Linked DNA regions of Drosophila melanogaster. The protein of the gene in region 1 interacts with the protein of each later gene in a pairwise test. Each region holds a gene or a part of one and is shown in the gene's direction. Other genes may lie near its edges.

The links.
Region 2: the proteins of thoc7 (region 1) and CG32809 interact in a two-hybrid assay, tested with the Drosophila melanogaster proteins (one large-scale study listed by BioGRID).
Region 3: the proteins of thoc7 (region 1) and beag interact in a two-hybrid assay, tested with the Drosophila melanogaster proteins (one large-scale study listed by BioGRID).
Region 4: the proteins of thoc7 (region 1) and CG15071 interact in a two-hybrid assay, tested with the Drosophila melanogaster proteins (one large-scale study listed by BioGRID).

Annotation. Positions count from the first base shown.
Region 1 is NT_037436.4:210,567-215,480, reverse strand, and holds thoc7 (thoc7), read left to right. Parts: upstream 1-2,793; coding exon 2,794-2,863; intron 2,864-2,921; coding exon 2,922-3,036; intron 3,037-3,101; coding exon 3,102-3,783; 3' UTR 3,784-3,845; downstream 3,846-4,914. Other genes in the region: Dis3l2 (Dis3 like 3'-5' exoribonuclease 2), read right to left, coding at 30-1,449, 1,505-2,637, 2,697-2,731; Prp4k (Pre-mRNA processing factor 4 kinase), read left to right, coding at 4,173-4,189, 4,262-4,666, 4,743-4,914. UniProt on the Drosophila melanogaster protein: The THO complex is required for cell proliferation and for proper export of heat-shock mRNAs under heat stress.
Region 2 is NC_004354.4:1,689,315-1,695,431, reverse strand, and holds the start of CG32809 (uncharacterized protein), read left to right. Parts: upstream 1-2,663; 5' UTR 2,664-2,993; exon of another isoform or gene 2,994-3,135; intron 3,136-4,074; 5' UTR 4,075-4,119; coding exon 4,120-4,225; intron 4,226-4,298; coding exon of another isoform or gene 4,299-4,301; coding exon 4,302-4,352; intron 4,353-4,419; coding exon 4,420-4,559; intron 4,560-4,623; coding exon 4,624-5,232; intron 5,233-5,244; exon of another isoform or gene 5,245-5,553; coding exon of another isoform or gene 5,554-6,117. Other genes in the region: a6, read left to right, coding at 1-1,189; b6, read right to left, coding at 5,554-6,117.
Region 3 is NT_033777.3:9,062,420-9,068,011, reverse strand, and holds beag (beag), read left to right. Parts: upstream 1-2,933; 5' UTR 2,934-3,022; coding exon 3,023-4,606; intron 4,607-4,671; coding exon 4,672-4,761; 3' UTR 4,762-4,880; downstream 4,881-5,592. Other genes in the region: Ada (adenosine deaminase), read right to left, coding at 1,760-2,773.
Region 4 is NT_033778.4:18,694,258-18,698,639, forward strand, and holds CG15071 (uncharacterized protein), read left to right. Parts: upstream 1-2,327; 5' UTR 2,328-2,376; coding exon 2,377-2,997; 3' UTR 2,998-3,088; downstream 3,089-4,382.

The DNA of each region.
Region 1 (4,914 bases):
AGTAATTATTTGAAAACTGAGACACTCACGTTGCACGGGCCATTGGTTTCATCAAAAGCTGACTTAGGCAGGCATTCATTGCGACAGGATTGGGCGCCTCATTGCACAACCGCACCATGCTCTCCTGGAGCGCCTTAGACGAGCTATAGTCCAATTCGAATCCCAGAGCAAGCAGCTTTTCCCTTAAAGCCTTAAGGGACTTAATAAGTGGCGGAGGGTGGTTACGCAGTACAGCGATATCCGGAAAGGAGTCGTGTATAAAGCGGGCGACTGCCTGGTTGGCCAGGAGCATAAACTCTTCAATCAGCCGGTTAGCCTCTCGCTGTTTCTCCACTTCAAAAGACAACGGCTCGCCAGTAATTGGATCGAGCAGGAAGCGTAGCTTGGCATTGTTAATTGTGAGTGCGCCATTGTCTAAACGTGTCTTACGGATGGAGCTTGCAATGTCGTGCAGCCATAGCACCCTATTTCTGATATCATCGGGATTAAATCCATTCAGGATGGTCGGAAAGTCGTTCTCGGTAAACCGTTCATTAGGGTTGTCGATGATCTTTTGAGCGTGTTCATAAGCAAATTGCGAGCAAGAGTTAATGACTGTGCGGCAAAATTCTGGCTTCTTTTGCAGCATGACTCCCTTCCCGTTCATCCGCCAGAAGACGGAAAAAGCAAACTTGTCTTGCCCAGGGAGCAGGGAACATCGCATGCATAGAGACTGAGGCAGCATGTGGATTACCTCGTTGGCTAAATAAATAGACGTAGAGCGTTCCTTCACTATGTTATCCAGTTCATTGTCCTCTATCAGGAAGTGCGAAACATCGGATATATGGACGCCAATCTCATATTCGTTGTCGCCTAGCTTCTCTATAGAAACGGCGTCATCCAAATCGCGAGCAGTCATCGGATCTATAGTAAATATGCACATCTTTCTTAAGTCTTTTCGTTGACGCAGATCCTCTTGGCTTATCGGAGGTGGCGGCTGGGAGTAAATGTCGATAAATCGTTGCTCAAATGGCTTTATATCCCGGAGACCGTTATGAAACAGAATTGCCTTAAGTTCGTCATCCAAATTACCCACGCGGCCAACCGGCTGGATTAGTTCAGCGATGCAGTGCCCATTGCAATCTGTCTCGAGTATATGGGCAAGGTATAAGAGGCCGGACACGTCTATTTGCTGCTTGTTTCCGATGTGGGCGGCACAGGCATCCTTCGGAACGTAGACCATGGGGACACGCAAATCGTACGGTCGGAATTTGTAGAATAGCTGGTCGTCACAGAGTTTGGTTGGGTTCGTAAACGATATGGTTCCCACGATCTGGCGGAGCTCAGTTCGTTTAGTTATTGCTATGACGAACGCTTTAGGGCAGTTGTCCGACGATATCACGACCACGTTGTCGGTATCGGACTCAGAGCCCTGGGACTCGGTATCGTCCGAAAGCTCCTCACCATCCGCTTTATAGGATATTATCATCAGTCGAAAGTATTATAAGTTTGCCGATAAACTTACCAAGAGATAATGAGGGCTTCCCACCAGAGATTTCACCAGACGAGGGCTCAGCTGTCTTTGAACTACCCTGAGCACCAGGGTTTAGCACGAATGCACGTACTTTGTCACCATCGAAGGCATAGCGCCTAGCCACTGGCAAGAGCACGATGCCATCTCGTTCGAGTGCTTCTCGATCAGTGGACATGATTATAAAGGCCTGTCTGTTGTTCTTGCGGTTAACCCGGATTTCCTCTTCTACAATGCGCCCATAACCCGCCGCAACTAGTCTCTGCGCATGCGCTTCCAGGTCGGAGAAGTTACCTTTGAAAATCAAGTCTTCCGACAACTGGTGATCCATACCCACGTGACGTTGGACAATCTTGTTTATGTACGACCGCATGGCCTCTAGTTCGGTTTTTTGCGATTGGGTCCCATTGCTACCGGATCCATCGTTTTTCTTGCTATTGCGTTGCCTTCGTCCTAGTTTCGGTTGCTGCTGTACATGACTTCCATTGTTTGTAGCAGAGACCTCAGAATCGTGGCGATGCCGCCCCTGGTAACCAACCTGTTGCGGATGTGCTTCTGACCTGGTCTGACTCCACTCGAGCTGAGAAAGGATCTCGTTTTTACGTATCAGCTGGCAGGCATACGCGTTAACATCTGGGGAGAGGTGTGAAAGATGTTTGACCATATCCTGAAGAGCTTCCACCTCATTTCGAAGAGCCCGCTTCGACTTCTTTTTCGCTATTAACCGATGGCTGGGACTAGACACGACGTGCAAATGCGAAAGTGGCTGAAGGCAGGGAATCTGCATGGTCGCCTGGTAGGAGGCGAATGCTACGTGGTAGGGCAATTGCATAGCTACCGGCGCTGGCGTGGATACTGGCACACCGTAAGGAATGGCCTGCCTGCTGTTGCTCCGAGCAGATGGTTGGGATTGGTTGGGATGTGGCCGTGGTTCCGCCCAGCGCATTAGTGGCTGCAGCGGAATAACGGCATTGTTGGCCGATAGGTCTTTGCTGGATGCATTAGACTCCATTTCCCTCTGCATCTGCTGGAGGCGGGCAGCAAGGCGTTGTGAGCGCTGTCGGAGGCCCTCAATCCTTCTGCAATCTCGGTCCGCATCCACGTTGACGCTTGACGTTTCCGACATTCTGCAAGAAGTGCACTTAGTTAATGGGATTCGCTGATGTCCGAAAGTGTACGGCACTACACTTGGCTATGGGCGGGATATAAAGGGTAAGGCATAATTCAATACTTTCTCCAAATTAAAATGATAGGACAAGTACAGTAGGACCGTACTGCGTGGTATGTCGGAGCAGTGTCAGCTTCGGCCACACTCCGATACGCTAGTTCGGAAATTAGTGGAGATGAATGACGGTAAGTTGTTTTTGTTTATTTTCGCATTTGGGAATAGATATTTAAACTGATCTTCCAGAAGAAATCATAAAGCAGCGCCTGCTGATTGACGGGGATGGAACTGGAGAGGATCGGAGAATAGTAGTGTTGCTGAAACAGTTCTTGAAGTGGGCCAGTGACTCGCTGGACAGCAAGTAAGAAATTGGATATGTGTGTATTCAAAACATGGTGTACATATCTCCTCTTTTCCGAATTACAGTCCCATCATGTACGACCGACTGATGGCCCAATTCGCCCAGTGCAAGCTCACTGCGTTAAAGAATGTACAAACTCTGCAGATGATCGCCGGTGAGCGTGACAACTACACACAACTAGTTGAACACCACGAAGAAAGTATTGTTTTGGCTAAAGCGGAAATCGAATCCAGTAAAAAAGAGCTAATCACTGCCAAGCAGATTCGCAAGAACAAGATGGAGTACGACCTGCTGGCCTCGCTCATCCAGGACCAACCGGACCGCAGTGAAACACAGCGACATATTGAGACCATTAGGAGGGAGATTGACGACTTGGTGCAAAAGAAGCTAAAGATGGAGCGCAAGTTTCAGAAACGACGCAATGACTTCACTTTGCTGATGTACACGATTCACGAGCTGGAACAGCAGCTGGACCAGGACAGCTCATCCTCGGCATCCTCCTCGTCCAGCGATTGCGATGCCCGCTCTGAGCCGGACCTAGACGACAATGGGATCATGGAGGTAAGCGATGAAGACGACGATCTCAACAATAGCACTCCCACAAAGTTCGACGGAGCCCGCGGCGAGCCCAAATATCACTCAGTCTCTACTGAGGACTCTAAAGCCATGTCCGTAGAAGAGGACACGGTGCTTGAGCTAAGCATCGACAAAGATGAGCACGACGTGGATGTAGCTGTTGCCAATTAGGTTAGAAGCGCTAGCATGTACAATAAAAACAAAAAAATAAAATGTCATGAACTATAATATACAAATTCAACTGTTGTTTCGAAATTCCTTCGTTTTTATTTCCAATTTAGACTTGCGCCAAAGACGATATTTAAGGGTTATAAAATTTAATTTTAATATATTTTTATTTTACTTGCATATATACTAGAAATAATTCCGAAATCCCAGGAGGTATTTTTAAAACGTATTTACTTTTGTCCGGCGTGCAGTCACACTAAAAAAGCTACGAAGAGGAAGAATACAATAAGAGGAAAATTACAAGTTTCATTAGCCATCTGCAGAATTACCGCACACCTTATGAACGCACAGTGTGCGCGCATCTGCAGTTTACATTGTTAAACAATCAAATAATGGCTGACGACAAAAGGTAGGTTAATTTTACTAAGCCGACCGCACGTGTGTGTATTGACCTGGGCTGCTCCCCTCTTGTACCGAATAGCTACGACTCCAGCAACAACAGCGAGACCGAAGAGCGTCGGGCCAAGCACAAAAAGGCTAAAAAGCACAAAAAACATAAAAAATCCTCGACTGGCAAGACCGAGAAGGACAGGCATGTCCACAAGAAGCAGAAGAAGGCAAAAAAGCGCCCCCACCGAACAAGCGAATCCACAAACGAATCGGACGCCCCGGAAAACGCAAAGTTAAAGCTATCACAAAATTGCGGGCTGAGCAGCAAGTTCACAGAAATCATGCAGAAGGCCAGCCGGAATGGAGCCGATTTCCGTGTCGGCAAACCCCTGCTTCCGACGGATCCGAGCAGCCTTGTTGAAGAAATCACCAAAACTATTCAGAATAAGATGCTGCCTGTCCTGGAGGTGGCCAGTTCAAGCAGCGAAAGCGATGTGTAAGTATTGTGGAATAAAATAGGGGAGCGATTTCGTAATTCATATGGTGTTCGCACTTATCTTTCTTGATTTTAGGCCCGCCGATGCCGCCAGTCCTATTATTTTGTCTATTATTGAAGACGAGCTTAATTTGGAGGAATTGATGCGGCAGAAGGCCCTTCTGCAGGCGCGCCTGGGCGCCTATATGTCGGATCCCGAGGCTGAGGATAAGGGCGATCTCCTCCCACACACACACTCGCAGCAGCTG
Region 2 (6,117 bases), on another chromosome or scaffold:
GCTGTTCGACAACCGTCGTCTCAAGCGGCGCCGCTGTCGGTGGATGGAACGCCTGCTTGAGCACCAGCGGATCTGCATGGCCCGGATGCGCGACCAAGTGGCTCTCGCCTCCAAGACTGACCGGCAGCTGTCCCATCTGCAGCGGCGCCATGTCGCCTCCACTTTGCAGCCGGACGTGACCATCGACCTGCTGTCGGATGACGATGAGACCCCATCGGCCGGACAGCCCGCTGCAGCTGGCCACAATCGCCTCCTGATTCCTGCCCCAGGGCACCGAGCACATAGAACGGGCAGAAGGCAGGCGCCGCGCAGAGCTGCCACCCACTCATACCCAGTGACCGACAGCATCCTGATAACCAGCGATGACGAGCACAACGAGCAGGAACCCAGCAGCACGGCAAGAGTGCGCTCCCAGCTCTCCATGCGCTCACCGCCACCGCTCGCACCGCTCACACAGTCGGAGACCATCGAAGAGGTAACTGTTTCGTTGGTGCCGCGCACCTCCACCACTGCCAACTGCCTGACGCGGGTGTCAGGTCACCCCAAGCCGTGTCGAGCGTCGACGGCGGCCAGCAATGGATTCGCCACCGCCGAAGGCGGAGAGGGCGGCAATGAAACGGGCTGTTTTCTGGAGGTGGACGTGGGCGGAGGCATCACAGCCACGCTGCCGGACGAGACGACCGTTCACACGGTCATCGCAAACCGTATTTACGAACTCTCGCTGAGCAAACTACGCGAAGGCCTGGCTTTTAGTGGAGTGCCGGAATACACGAACGACCTGATGCCGGAGCAGCTGCAGAAACTGTCACCGGCATTGCGCGCCAAAGTGGCGCCCTTGGTGGCTCCCTCGCCGCCCACGCCCATCTCCCTAAAACTGTCCAGCGACCTCAGCATATCACTGATCTCAGACGAAGACGATTGCGAAAGCACCGGTCCACATGTCAACGGAGGAGTCGGCACCGAACCGGTGCACCCCGTCGTGGTGGCTGCGGCGGAGGCACACGCTGCCGCCAAGCTGCTCAAGCAGCAGCAGCCACAGCTCTCGGTGGTGCAGCATCTGCAGTACGTCGGCGGCGGACTCGCAGCTCCAGTGGCTCTTGCCCTTCCGGTGATGGCAGCAAATCCGACCTCGTCTGCTTCCGTTGTTGCCTTGCCGCTGCAGCTGCCGCGGCGCCGAAAACTGGGATGAGCTGGATGACTGATGACCGATGACCCGCCAGAACCGAGTCCCCATCGCCATAATATCATTCCCCGAGCCGGAAGCACGGCATAGACTTTAACTAGCAGTGGCTAGAAGTGCAAATATGAACGTAGGTTTAGCGACAACACATCACTATTTCCCAGTTATCCTTGAATCCAGGACTAGTCCTTGTCCGGTCGATTTTTGTATCCTTCCCCTTTCCCAAGCACCTTCTCTCCATCTCACTCAGTTGCCCATTAATCTCCCTGTCTCTGTCATTCTCATATTTTAAGCTTTAAATGAAACGAGACGACAACGTACAAATGAAAGTAGAAAAGCATCAACCCATATACATTGTTGAGCAAAAAACACAAATTTCAAAAGATTATAAGAGGGAGTAGAAAATTTGAAGCGAGTGAGAAAGGTGAGCCCAATATTTATAAAGTACAAGTAGCTAGCTTAAGATATACTATGTATATGTACATTTGATTTAGTGTATCATATATTACATGGCTGAATCACGTCGTGTAATCCGTCGCAGTCCGCCGTCTGTATTACATTAGCTGATCACCAAACCGGAATAAATTTTCATTGTATATATATATATATATACATGTACACCAGCTGTGAGAAAAGGAAACTATGCGTATGCCATCAAGGTTCGTTTCGACCAAGCGCTCCTTGAACCACGACTGATCTCTGGCCAGGATTTCGTGGGTGAACTCGTATCGCGCTAGGGCACTCTTAATATAGAGCGAGAGTTGCGGCAGGAGCAGATCCTCAGAGTGGCTGACAAAGTCATGGGATCCTTGGTCACGCGCTTCAGTCGCTGAGCATGCTAATGCCCGCAGTGGTGTTGCCGCAAAACTGTCGAATACAATCGTAAATGAAAATGAAATCGAGTTGCATCTTCTGTGGCCAAACTCACTCGAGTGTTGTCCACGTGCGGCTTGATCGCGCCAGAGTCAGCCAAGTCCAGGATGTGCACGAAGGGCATGACCTGCTCACCGAAGGAAACTCACGAGACGTGATCCAGCGTGGCCTGGTTTTGGGGAGTCCACTTTCGGCGTTCAACTTCGCGGTATCTGCCTGCGAAGTTTAAGAAGTTTAGCCAGAAATCCGATACTATATAGTCTCTATATATACCCACCCACGTCATCACAGTGGCTCAACTCGTACGGCAAGCGGCTGATGTGAGGCTCGATTTCCCGCATCAGTAGTTGCTCCTCCTTCGCAGTGATGAAGTCCCTGATGACCCGCATGTCCGATTCAAACTGGTGCTGCTCACAGCGAGGCCACTGGCCGGGAAACTCCACCAGGGCGTGGCTGCGGGCCCAGACATCCGCTGGAATCCTGGCTACTCCCGGATAAACAAGCCGGCGCAGGACAAGCATGTGTTTCGTCACCTGTTTTTAAAGGCCTTCCGCCCAGTAATCGATTGGAGCCATTCGATAGCCACATGCGCTCAACCGCCAAGAAAATTACTCGATTGCCCCGGCACCAGGTAAACACACACAACAGAGCAGCGTCGGAATGCAGGGATGCCAGGACCTCTGACGGCTGGATGCCAGGGAACTTCGCTGGTCCGGGAACACTCGATTGGTAACGCATGCGCCGTGCAAGCACGCAGTCCTCGTTCGGCTAGGGCGGAAACGCTTTCCGGTGTAGATATACCAGAAATATTTCTGCTCTTCTGGCGTTATGCTGCGTCGGTGGACGAGTGCCGTGTCCTGACTCCAGAAAGCTGTGTAGTGACGAGTGCAAAGCGAAGCGAATTGAATCGAATCTTTATCCTAAGGACACGGCTAAATCGGTGAGCTCCTCGAGCTATGAGCACCTAGACCCGTTAATTGTGAAACCTTCCTGAATCGGCAAGGCAAGTGCGGTTTGAGAAAATGCCAGAAACATCGCCGGTGAACCGCCCACACACCCCCAAAGGTGCATAGGTATACAAGGTACAGCTAGGACGAGATCCCCCATGAAAACCCAAAGGAATCCAGCCAACTGACCGCTGACGTGTGTGGAAAAGTCAACAGACACGAGCTCCCCTCCACCGTGTTTAATGTGCACTCGTGCCCTGGAAACTGGACGCAACTGACACAATTAATGGCGGCTGGGAAAAAACGGGCCGGGGCACCGCACCTAAAACTAATCAAAAATTCCTTTAGTGGCCCGCAATAATGCCGATGGGCAGTGAATGTGGGTGGCTGTGTACATATTCCCAGGCACTGGCACTGGCAAAGGCAAAGGCATACTAAAACCCGTGAAGTGCTGCACTGAAAAGTATACCATGTTTCGTGTGTACCCATCTCTGCGTCCGTTTCCTTTTGGTGCCCCTTCCTCGGATTTCTTGCTCGAGATAAACATGTACATGCAGCCAAAATAACTTGACATGCCTTGTTTAAAGCAACTTCCAACTCCAAAAACGTTTACATATGCAAAACAAATTCGAAAGTGATTCGTGTTCTCTCAGCAAATGGCATCTTAATGGCAACTGCGATGAACAATTGTATTCGGCCAACACTATTGTCTGTTCTGCCAGCCGCATTTCTGGGGTCCCGATCCAGATCCGCATGCAGTTCCAGATCCAGCTCCAGTCACGCCTTCCGCTCTGTCCTGCTTTCTTGCTCCATTCCGTGTTGCAGAGCAGAGTTTGCGCACTCCGTTGCATACTTTTTGCATTGAGCACTGGCACTGCCACTGCGAGGCTCCACTCCATTCCACCACACCCTGTTAAAGAATGTGCGAGGATACATGGTTTATCTACACCAAAGTTGCATGTTGTGTGTGTGCGGTTTAGCGTGTTGTTGCCGGTACCAAACGTAAACAAAGACCAAAAAAATAAGGACATTTTCACGTTACCCATACGCCCCGTTGTCTCTCATTTTCTGCAGCTGCAACATAGCCACTGAGCTCCGCACATCTCAAACGGCTGCAGGATGTTGATCCGTTGGAAGAGTAAGGACAAGAGCGCCTCCTCCAACCAGAGCGTCGGCGGCAGCAGCAGCTCCTCGTCGAAGAAGAAGCGCAAGGGTAGAGAGGGCGGTAAGTAATCGGAATCCATAAATCGGAAGGAAGCGAAATGAAATGAGCCTAACTCCAGCTCCCTCTCTTTCAGAAGAAGACTGGCAGAATGAGGCAAAGTCGGGACGGCTTCCGTCGAATGAACAGGGTATGTTAAGGACCAAAGACGTCCACGGATCTGTAGCCCCATCCTCAGTGTCTATGTGTTTCCCCAGGTGGCGACGAAAGACGACGAGCCATGCGACGCGACGATCCACGACGACATACGCTCGGCGGCGATATGCTGGTCTACGGCTCGCAGCATCCACACGCCCATCAGATGGCGCCCCAGCAACAGCGGGCCATGGATCTGGAGGTGAGCTCCATCTCCCATCTCAACTCGTTTCTACCATCAGTTTCTGATTCTTGTCCCTTCTTAGATGAGTACGCGCGCGCAGAAGAACAAAAAGAACCAGCCGATGCGCGGTTATGCGCCTGTTAACCAGGGACCGCTGTTCGACGACGATCCCGGCATCATGTCGGAGGTGGAAACGGCCAGCACCGGATTCCGGAGGGGCGGCAAGCAGCGCTCCTCGCTCCCCGTGGTACGCACGCCCTCGAAAACTCTGGAACGACCGCTGGGCCTGGTCTTTCTGCAGTACCGCTCGGAGACGAAGCGCGCCCTGCTGCCCAACGAGATCACTTCGATTGATACGGTGCGCGCCCTGTTCGTACGCTCGTTTCCGCGCCAGTTGACCATGTCATATCTGGAGGGGCCCAATGTGAAGATTTACATTCACGATGCCAGCAAGGATATGTTCTACGAGCTGGAGGACGTGCGCTCGCATCTGCGCGAGATCAGGGATCGCTCCGTGCTGCGTCTCTTTGAGTCCACTGAGGTGGCAGCCCCGCCCCAGATTCTGCCCGGCGGCCCTGGAATACCCCAACCCCTGCCGCAGGCGCAGGCCAATTGGGATCAGGATCAGAGCTACTTCAGCGAGCCGGAGTTCGACTCGGACTACAAGCACCAGCATATCCACAAATCAAAGGTAAGTGCTGCTAGATGGTATCAGTTAAATAGTCCTTTATTCAATATCACCGCGTAATTGCTAGGGTGAGGATGTAGGGCTTAGGGAAGCAGGATGGATTGGTGTCCATGAGCGAGTCAAGGATTGTTTGGTGGCCAAATGGGTGGCAACAGTAAAGCGTTGACTCCCACATGGACAATTGTGGCACAAGATGCCCAACCAATCGAATACTTATTCGTACATATATAGAAAAAAAAAAGATATGGAAATAATGGGGTGGGGCTGGGAAAGCTTAAGCTGGGGTCCTAGGACACTAGAATGTTATCCGAACTTTGGGAACAACTAGAAGTTACCACATGGACCCACACTGAGGCCCTTGAGGGCGTTGTTCATGTGCTCGCGCACATCCTTCCACGAAAACACGATGGCACCCTGGAAAGGCTCCGTGTGGCAGCTGCTACAGATGGCCATCACGGCCCTTACCTCCTCCTCGGCGGGCTCTCGGTCGTGCGTGCTGATCTCCTCCTCCAGGCTCATCTTGAGCGTAAGATCCTGCTTAAATTGCTGTCCGCCAAAGTCGGCGAGACCGTTGTAAATCAAGCTCCCATCCGTTCCGGAACCGACACCGTCGTCCACCACAGATCCATCGTCCAGCAGCACCAGGCCGCGCTTCTGAACCTTCTTAGTGGCGTCGGTGTTCCTCTTGAACTGGATGTGGGTCTCCGTTTCGTCGATGAACTGCACGTTGGCTGAGTTACTTAGCATTTGGAAGCGTTTGCCACCGCCACTAGGCTGCAATCCGCTCGGCGGCGAGAGGCCAAGGAGTTGCTGGGCCACCAGTCGCGATCCCGCGTTTATCTGTCCGTTCACAAAATTTGTGTTGATGGTGATGGCCTGCTGGGCGGA
Region 3 (5,592 bases), on another chromosome or scaffold:
TAAATAAACCTTTTGTAATTTGTTGTAAAAAGAAAGGAAAGAATGAAAGAAGGAAGGATGGCGGAAATTAAAAGGCATGACATGTGCTAGAGCTGGCGTCAAGTAAAACTATAAATTATATATAAATATAAATATATATTAAAGCATATACATACATATAAATATAAATAAACAGTAATTAATTAATTACGATAATATTTTGTAGTTACACACTCGAACACACGGAGAAATTCAAATATACAAACACAGAGCGAGACCTTTAGTTTTGTAAACCGCGAGCGATTGGCACAAGTTAAATAACTACAATTTGGACAGCATTGCATTCGAGCATTTGATTTAACAATGCATTAGATTTTTATGTTTATTATTATTATACAAAATACGATTAATGCTAATTTCTTTGTGAAAAAAATAAAACAAGTTTATTATGTAGCAAAAAGAAAACGTTTTATTTCTCAATTCGAACCGATTTAATTGTCTCTTCCTCACACCAAAATGCACACATCCACACATAGTTTCAACTGATTGGCTTCAATGGAAGGCTGCGATGACTACAAAACTGAAATCAAAATTGATATTAATACGGCATGCAATTAACGAGAATAGCATTACATTGAAAATAAATATAGATAAATAATATACACGTACCATAACCTCTATAGCCCTTCCAAATCTGCAGAAAATGGCACAACAACCAAAAATGAAAGCGCAAGTTCGAGGCATTTTATACGGCGCATTTTTTATATATGAGCAGGCTAGCTGTCTATATGATATTACCCAAAAATGGTCGACTTTTATAAATGAGCCAGTAAGTAAACAAGACATATTTTTTTATAAGCCTTGGCAAGCTAAACTTTTACCAGGCCGTACATTTTAAAAAAAATTATACATACTTAAAAGCAAGAATACTAAAACCCTATGCCCGAACTCCTAAATAAAGTCGAATACAACAGCAAAATCCATACCATACCATTTTCAACTAGTAGAATTTTTCCAAAGTGTAGAAATGTAAACCTTTATATAAATATATAGATTTGTAATTGAACTCTCTAGTTGAGGTAAAAACACTTCTATACAATATAAATAAACTCCCAAGTCGGTCGTTTCTTGAAGCTCGACATTTGGAATGAACTGGATAAAGTAGTAAAACTCATGTAGAAACACAGCAGTAAGCTAAAACCAAACTAAAAGTATAAAATATAGATAAACTGTATATAGGGAATACCAGGCAGGCAAACCACTTCAACTGAAAGCTAATCTGCAGGCTTGGGTAGGTGGAGGGTCCGACTATAAAGATGTCTTCACCCAAAAAGTTTGTTTCAAAATGTGCTATTAAACTACAGATTTCGATCATTTAAGTCTTACTTTGGTTTCCTTAGATTTCGATCGTCCACTTCACTTGGTGCAGTTTAAGAGCCCACTATTGACCAAAGCTTGTACTCCATTGTATTTTGAATGCCTACCCCCAAACTAAGCCACACAGAACGGCAGAAACGAGAACATAAAGTAATGAACAGAAAACTTGAATTCAATTATGAATGATATTAAATGAGAAAAACATAAAAACTTATTAGCCACATATGTACGTACGAAGGATGAACATAACTAATGAACAAACTTGTAACTAAATACTTCTACATATTGAATAAAAAGAATGATATTAAAAGGTAAAATTTTTGACAAATAAGAATCAGGTTGGTACATATATGGTGTTACATACAAAAACTTATTTATTTCAATTAGGGCAGTGACAGTTTTTTTATTTGACCAATATGTCTGCGTAGTTCCCCACCCTATCCGCCATCTGTATTTGCTCCTGTTCGCTGGCGAATGAATGATGCACTGCCTCCAAGGTCAAATCGATGCATTGTTCACGGGTTAGACCGAAAGTTTCCGCAGCAATCAGAAACTCCTTTGTCAAAGTGGTATCAAAAACGCCACTGTCGTCCGTGCAGATAACCTTGGGTGCATCTGCCTCCATGATTCTTTTCAAGTGGTGCTCCTCCAAGCTGGGCACTGTTCCCGACTTAACATTACTAGTGAGGCAGCATTCAATGGCAATATTTCGTTGTTTAAGCTGCCCAATGTCCTCGGGAGTAAGAAAAGTTCCATGTCCACAGCGGGACATTCCAAAGTGCAGCATTTCCTTTACCTCCGATGGATTCTCGATCTCGGCGCAGTGTATAGCTAACTTCAGACCCTTATCCCGGGCCTGTGCAAGAATAGGAGCAAAGTCGGAAAACCGCCCCTTCCCTGGATTACCGCTAAGATCGATGCCTAAGATAAGATTTGGATGAGCCCGTGCCAACTCCACAGCCAGGGAAACTGTTTCCTCAGCCACGTCCACTGGTTCCGCTCGATTGATGGAGGGCAGTAGCTTGACTGTTATCTCTGGATACGTTTCGCTAGCTGCCTTAATTGCATCGATCACGATCTGCAGGTAGTCCCTGCGTGAATAGTTCTCGTTTGCCTTAGGAGTGGTCCTCATTTCCACATACTGGACGTTGTCCTCAGCGAAATCTCGAATCGCCAACTCCGTGGCAAATCGCAGACCCTCCCGGGTGGAGGTCAACTCGTGCACAAATGCAAACTTCTCGAAGCATGCATCCATATCCTTTTCAAATCGGCTGAAGTGCGCGCACAACTTCAGGAAATCTTTACAAGAGGTTCCATACAATCGCTCGCCAAGATCACATAGGCTTTTGATGCCCAAGGAACCGTTGAGGTGAGCATGGAGCTCTACTTTGGGCAGACCTTTAAGAAACTGCTCCATTTGTAGTTTAACAATAATAACAATACATTATGAGAAACAGTGATGCTAAATGTGGAATCGATTTTCAAATATTCGTAATTATTCGGAAAAAACGCTAAAAACGCTAATCTTCCATCACTGTAAACATGTTATCGATTACAGTACGGAGAAAAATCAAAAACACAGCCAACCCTGGCAGGCAAAACCAAGAAGAAGCACAATTTGTAAATATAGATTTTCTCTGCGAGTTTTCTTCGAATTTTCTTCGCCATGTCGGATGCCCACTTGGAAGCACCGCCTTCGGTGCGACTAACCAACGATGACTTCCGCAAGCTGCTAGCGACGCCCCGAGCTCCTCCTCCTGGCTCCGGGACGAGCAGCACCTCCGCTGGAGGATCTCTGGCCACTGCTACCTTTGCCACGCCCTCCACCGCCCCCGGCACGACAGGATTGAGTGGCGAAAAGAAGAAGGGTCAGAGCAGCAGCGAGCGGAATGATCTGCGTCGCAAGAAAAAGAACTTCTATGCGGCGCTCAAGAAGCAGGAGGATGTGAAGCTGCAAGAGCTGTCCGAGAAGTACAGGGACCGAGCACGAGAACGACGCGATGGTGCCAATCCAGATTACGTGAACGTGAGCACGCCGGGACACGGAAGCAGCACCAATGCGTATCGAGCTGTAGCGCCAGATATGAAATCCGGAATCGATGCCCAGGAGCGAAGAAGACGTATCATTCAGGAGTCCAAGTTCTTGGGTGGAGACATCCAGCATACGCATTTGGTGAAGGGTCTTGATTACGCCCTTCTGCAAAAAGTGCGCTCCGAGCTGCACTCGAAGGAAGCGGAAGAGGAGGAGATTGCCGCCGCTGTGGCAAGGGAAAAGCTCGCCGAAGCAGCTGCCGCCGCTGAGCAATTGGAAGCGGAACGCCGCGAGTCGGAGGATATTAATGCAATCAATGGTGCACTAGCGCGCAATATTTACAATCTAGTGCAGGCAAGGCGTTCGAAAGAAGTTCCCCGCAATGAGCTATTTGCTCCAGGACGGATGGCCTATGTGATCGACCTGGATGACGAGCTAGGGGAGTCGGATATTCCAACCACACTGAAGCGCTCCAAGTTCGAGGTGCCGGTGTCACAAGAGGATGTTGCCACGCTGACCACCAATGACATTGTGATCAACAAGCTGTCCCAAATCCTGAGCTATCTACGTGCCGGTGGTCGCAACAAGAAGAACAAAAAGCGCGACAAGGACAAACCGCTGTTCTACGAAAAGGAGGTGGAAAATCTTCGTGGGTCGTCTAGCAATGGTGGCTCCAGTCGGCACGCCACCTCGTCCTCATCGAACATGGGAGGGAAATCAGCTCCCTTGGGCGATAATATCTACGACGATATAGGGGACTACCAACCTTCTGCCACGCGACCTGAGCGAAACCGCCAGGAGCAAGGCAAGTCCGCCCCGTCCTACTTTGGAGACGGCCCGCCGGAGGCATCAGAGGAGCCGATAATATCCAGTATTCCCCCGCCACCCAAGATATCGAAGGCCATGGCCGCACGGTTCGCTGAACCCGAGGGATACGCAGAATGCTATCCCGGGCTGGAGGAGATGAACGACGCCATCGACGACTCGGACGATGAGGTGGATTACACCAAGATGGATTTGGGCAATAAAAAGGGGCCCATTGGACGCTGGGACTTTGACACGCAGGAGGAGTACTCCGACTACATGAGCACGAAGGAGGCGCTGCCCAAGGCAGCCTTCCAGTACGGGGTCAAGATGCAGGACGGTCGCAAGACGCGCAAGAACAAGACGGAGAAGAACGAGAAGGCCGAGCTCGATAGGGAGTGGCAAAAGATTCAGGTATGTATATCCCAAAGGATTCGTCGATGATCAATACAAAATATTTATTTTTCTTTGCCATTTAGACAATCATTCAAAAGCGAAAACTGCCAAAGGACGGTGGAGGCGGCGGTGCTGGTGGCGATGAACCCGATTACAAATCCGCAAAGTACTAGAAATTCTTGAAACATTATTCTATATTTGTAATGTAATTCTGTAAAACATTAAATATAAGTATGCTCGTACTTGTATTAATCTTACATGCTCTCAAATATATTTTAGCAACGTTATCACTAATTTAACTGCTACTGGAGTTGGGAACTAAGGGGAGGGTCCTTAGGGAGCTTGGCAGGTTGACTTATCGACTATGTGCGGCAATAGCGCTGGTACAGTGGGATTCAGAACTGTAAGACCGCTGGCGCAACGCGAGTTTAATTTCCATCGAGTAAGGCCAAATGTTGGGGAACTTTAAAACGGGTTCGACAATCAAATAAAATCGATCTCTTTATTTTGCATTGCATTGCTCTTACAGTCCCGAAACGCACTGCTTGTGATTCTCAGTTGGTGTGCGAGCTGCATCTACTTAAGCTGGATGGGTGCACCTAGTGCTGCTCTCTAACATGTAACGTTTCCTGCATGCTTAGAAATATGACACTGATTAAATGTAATTACCTTCGCGGGAATGCTATTCTTAATCACTACGCTAAGTCCGAGTGTGAGGATGGTGGGGCGACTTGTATAAAATGGGTATCGGTAAAGTTTGTATCTTTCAGCTTCGGAAAACCGAAGCTCAGCCCTTTACACTGCCAAGAGTGGTTTGAGGAAATGGGGAAAACAAAGCCGGAAATGATTAAATAGTAGAATTTGTTTCTGGTTACCTAGCTTGAAAATATTGCAGCGATTTCCCACCTAAACATGTCATTAGAATTTATAAAAGTATTAAAACCGTAAAAATGGATTGATCTTCGATAAGAAGACATTTTTGAGATTCTCAAAAGGTATCGGAA
Region 4 (4,382 bases), on another chromosome or scaffold:
GTCCAATGGTGGCCACTTATCTTATTTCTGCCATGTCCACTCAATATGTGTACTCATTCTATATAGTATAGCTATATCTGTGCGTTGGTAAAACATGAGTACGTTAGGATCTGAATACAAATGAATTTATTTACGTATGGTGTATGGCCTTAGAGCCCATGGCTTATCGCTCCTAAGCGCATTTTGCCAATAATTCACTATTATCAATGGAAAAATGGCAAAAGTTCACTTGTACACACAACTGTGGGTACACACACACACATTCGAATTATGATTATTTGTTTAAACCGAAGGAACTGCAGAACCCATCGATAAGAAAGTGTGCGATACGTACTTTGATCAGCGTATCGTAAAAGCAAATCATAGCCTAGCTTACATGATTTCCTCTAGTGAAAATCTGCGGGGGAAATGACTCTGAAATAAACAGTTTTATCATTTCTTAGCCAATATAAATAGTATTAATTGATTTCTTTCTTTGTTTAGAGTTCTACGCTCTCTTGATCGCTTTCATGTGCCGTTTTTCAAATTGAATTTCAGTTTACTTTCTTTGTGTGCGGAATGTGTTTGCACTCAATTGGCAAGTTTTAGTTTAATTGAATTTTTCTGTAGTTGCCTTGGCAACTGTTTTAATGCTCCAATTGATGCAATTAAGCACCAGCCATGCAGCGTAGACACTCTATATACCACTCGTGTTTGTTTTTACATAGAGAAAAGCAGGGGAACTTAAATAAAATATTTTTTAAATTTCATTCCAAGTTAAGATGAAAAACCGCATTGCAAATGTGAGTTTTTAAACTGTTTAAACTGTATGCTACTATACATTTCATTATTTATATGTCGATATTATTTCTCTCTGTGCAGCCCTATGCTCTACCCGTCTCTTTCTGGTCAATTCACACCGTCTCGCTCACATTTGTTGATTGATCTTTCGCTATGGGCAAATATTTAAGCTGCCGTCTGAGCGTTGCCTTTTGGCCAGCAGACCGAAAACATGTTTGAACATCTAACACGCGTCAGACCGAAAAGAAGCGAGTGCAAGCGGGACGGAGATGATGAGCGAGCGAGATGGGTGGCTGAAATCGTTTAACAATTTTTATTTACCTTTTTATTAACAATTTCGCGGCTTTTTGCAGCTCACCATTCGTGTGTCTGCGGTTTTTATCATATTTCTACTGTGTGTGTGTGTGTTTACAAAACCCAAAAAATTATGCGCACTAAATCTAAGGTCGACCTTTTGCCTTTCCTTTGCATTTCCACGTTCATATTTGTATGCTTTTGATACTAACAAAACTATGCTATCTGCAGCAAAAAAAAAAAATACGCATACATACATACATTCCAATGATAAGCACAAATGCTATCAGTGGAGTTGCTTCTTCTGCTGATTTTTCATCCACGATGTTTTGTCATCGCAAGAAAAGTAAATTCGCAAATCAGTCACGTGCGTTCGCTCTCTGTCTCTGTCGCACAGCGGAGTGGGTGGTGTGGGCGCAAGTGGGTTGTGGCTGGTGGGTGGGAGGGAGACAGAAGACAAACAGCACGCGCCAAGTTAATGCTGCCCGATTTGACTTTGCAGGCGATAGCAAAACAAATAATAAATCAACATTTCATCCGCACAAACAGTCAAACTTCCATACCAAGCACTTTTGTAATTCCAGCAATTTTAGCCGTACATAAAAAAAAAAGGCAATTTAAATATAAACGAATTTCGTTAGTTAACAGTGAATCTTAAATATAACGAACATTTTTGCATAATATATAAACCTTCTTAGCTTTGATTTCATTGATTGTAGATTGTGATTTAATATATTAGTTCCACTAAAGCAAGGCTCACTGTTGTATTTCCTACTTTTACTTTATACTTTTGTTAGTCCATTGAAACTTGATTAGCTCGCCAAACATTTGATCGTCACTTGAGTTTTTGGCTAGCAGGTGGATTTTCCCGGTCTCCCACAAGTACTGATTAGAAATTAGTTAGCCACGAAAGTGGTCTTCAAGCCACGACCCCGTTTGTCCCATTTCCATGGGCAATTAAGTAGGCCATGACATGGAAACAGTAATTGTACTAATCGATTTTCCATTTCCACTGAAAGTTACCGCTGCCGTTTGGAAAATTGTAAAATCCAGCCAAGCCAAATAAAGTTTACTGACCCCCGGCAGAAGCATAGAATTGTTGGCACAGCAGCCGGAAAAATCGAGGGGGGTGGAAAGGTTGCATATCGATTAAACACGTGGAAGGAGTGGGTGGGTGGTTGGGTGTGCTGGCAACACGTTTGATTACCGCGTGTAAATAAGAACAACCAAACGAGCGCTGCAGAAGTTGCAACGACTCTCTCCTTGGATGTTGTGCAACAATCACATGCTACCGAAGCCCCAATGGAAAATCCAAAAGACGATGAACAAAAGCCAACGGCTCCAAGGGCTCAACCGCCGGAAAAACCCGCTCGTAAACGGAATCAAGTTAAAATTCCGCCCAAGATCAGGGCGGCAAAACTAACACCTACCGCCATTCTGTGTGAATTGACGCGCCTGAAGGCGCAGCAAAAATATCTCGAATGCAATCAAGTCAAGCTGAATCCCAATAATTTCATACTCAAAGATGATGAGGGCACAGATTCAAAGACCGAGTCTTGCCAAGAGCCGGAAACTGGTCGAAATCCACGACCCAACAGTTCCTCCACGGCAGATCTAATAGGTCTGATCAACGAAATCGAACAGGAGAAACTTGTGCTCCATGAAAAACTTAAGCTATATAGCAGCGAAAAGCGTGGAGAGCTTCAGGATATGTGGCATTTTGTGGCCACCGTTAAGGAGGATGTCTTTCGGCCAGAACGTCTTAGCCAATATACAGTGAATGCTCTAAGGGAAAGAATCGTTGGCCTAAATGCCCAATTGTATCGCTTGGCTGCTAGGAACTCAAAGGAACTCGAAGAACTGAGGGAGCAGTACGCTAAAATGGAAATTGAAAATAAGCTGTTGTGGAAAGGTAGCATGTAGATTAATATACAGCAACTTTTGGATTAGTTTTTTTTTCACTTTTTCACATAGATAATATCCCAAAAATTTGTATTTGTTCTATAACTTGAATAGGCTTGCAAAACAATAAAGAAATATCTTTAAATCAAGTGGAATAGTTTCAAAAGTAGATATACCTACAAAGTATTATCCAATCCAATTTAAATGCAAATACCATTAGTTTTGAAAAAGTATTACGGAGCAAATGCTTTTCTCGATGGCCATGCATTGCGATTTGCAGACAAATATTGCTGAAATTCTTGACATTGTTTCAGGGCCCTTATTTAATGGGCGACACTCGTAATCAACAACATTTTAGACCTTGCCTTGAGCTGCTTGCCTTTTAAATCAATAGGACCTTTTGATGCGACTTTTTTCGCCTTCGGCTGAAGGATTCCCAAACGGAGGCGACACTGGTATTTTCTGCCACGACTGCTATACTTGTTGTTGGTGTATTTCTGGTTGCGATTATTTTGAAATGTCTCATTTGCGAGCGCCGAGCTTGAGGTTCATCGCATTCGCCGGGCGACCAATGGGGAAAGGTCAAACGGCACGTGGCAATGGCATTTCTGTTTTTTCCATACTTTTTTTTCAGCCCTACCCCCCCCCCCCCCAAGCCTTTGGTTTTTCCTTGTTTCCCGTTGTTGGCTGAAGTTCAAAACCGGCTCACGTGGCATTGGCGATTTATAGGACGTAATATCAGTGCAGAATCAGCATTTGTTTCATGCAATTATGTAAAAGTATGACACTCATCTCGATTTCGCCGGCCATCGTCTAATTCGCTCAACAGACATTACGCATACGCCGCATTGCCCGGCAGCGAGAGCGCTCTTTGTCTTTATTATAAACAAATAGTTTGCATTGCATTGCATTGTCTCAAGTTCAAGTTCTACTCTCTCGCGGTGGAATTTTCACAAAAGTGTGTTTGAATTGATTGAAAAGATTCCCTGCTTCTCTTTTTTTTTATATTTTGACAAATTTTCATAAAATGCTGAATATATTAAAGAAATAAGTACTCAGGAAGCAGCAGGAATTCGCTTAAATGTTGAGCAAACAATAACAAAAAAGCAAAAAAAAAAAAAGTTTAAAGAAACCGGTGGCGATGATGATGCTTTAGCTCATTGTCGTCGAGCGAGAGAGCAACAGCTGAGGAGAAAGAGACGGCGCGACTGAGTGAGTGTGCGCTCACTTGTGTTGTTAATTATTTAACATTGTGATAAATTTTTAAAATGTTTCGCGAATACACAAAAGCAAATAAACAGTCGGCCACGGCAACGGCAATTTCGTCGTCGTCGTCTGCGAACAGAAAGTCGTGAGCAAAGAATGTTTTTGTCTTGTCTGCCGCCATCGCCGCCGCTCCGCACTCA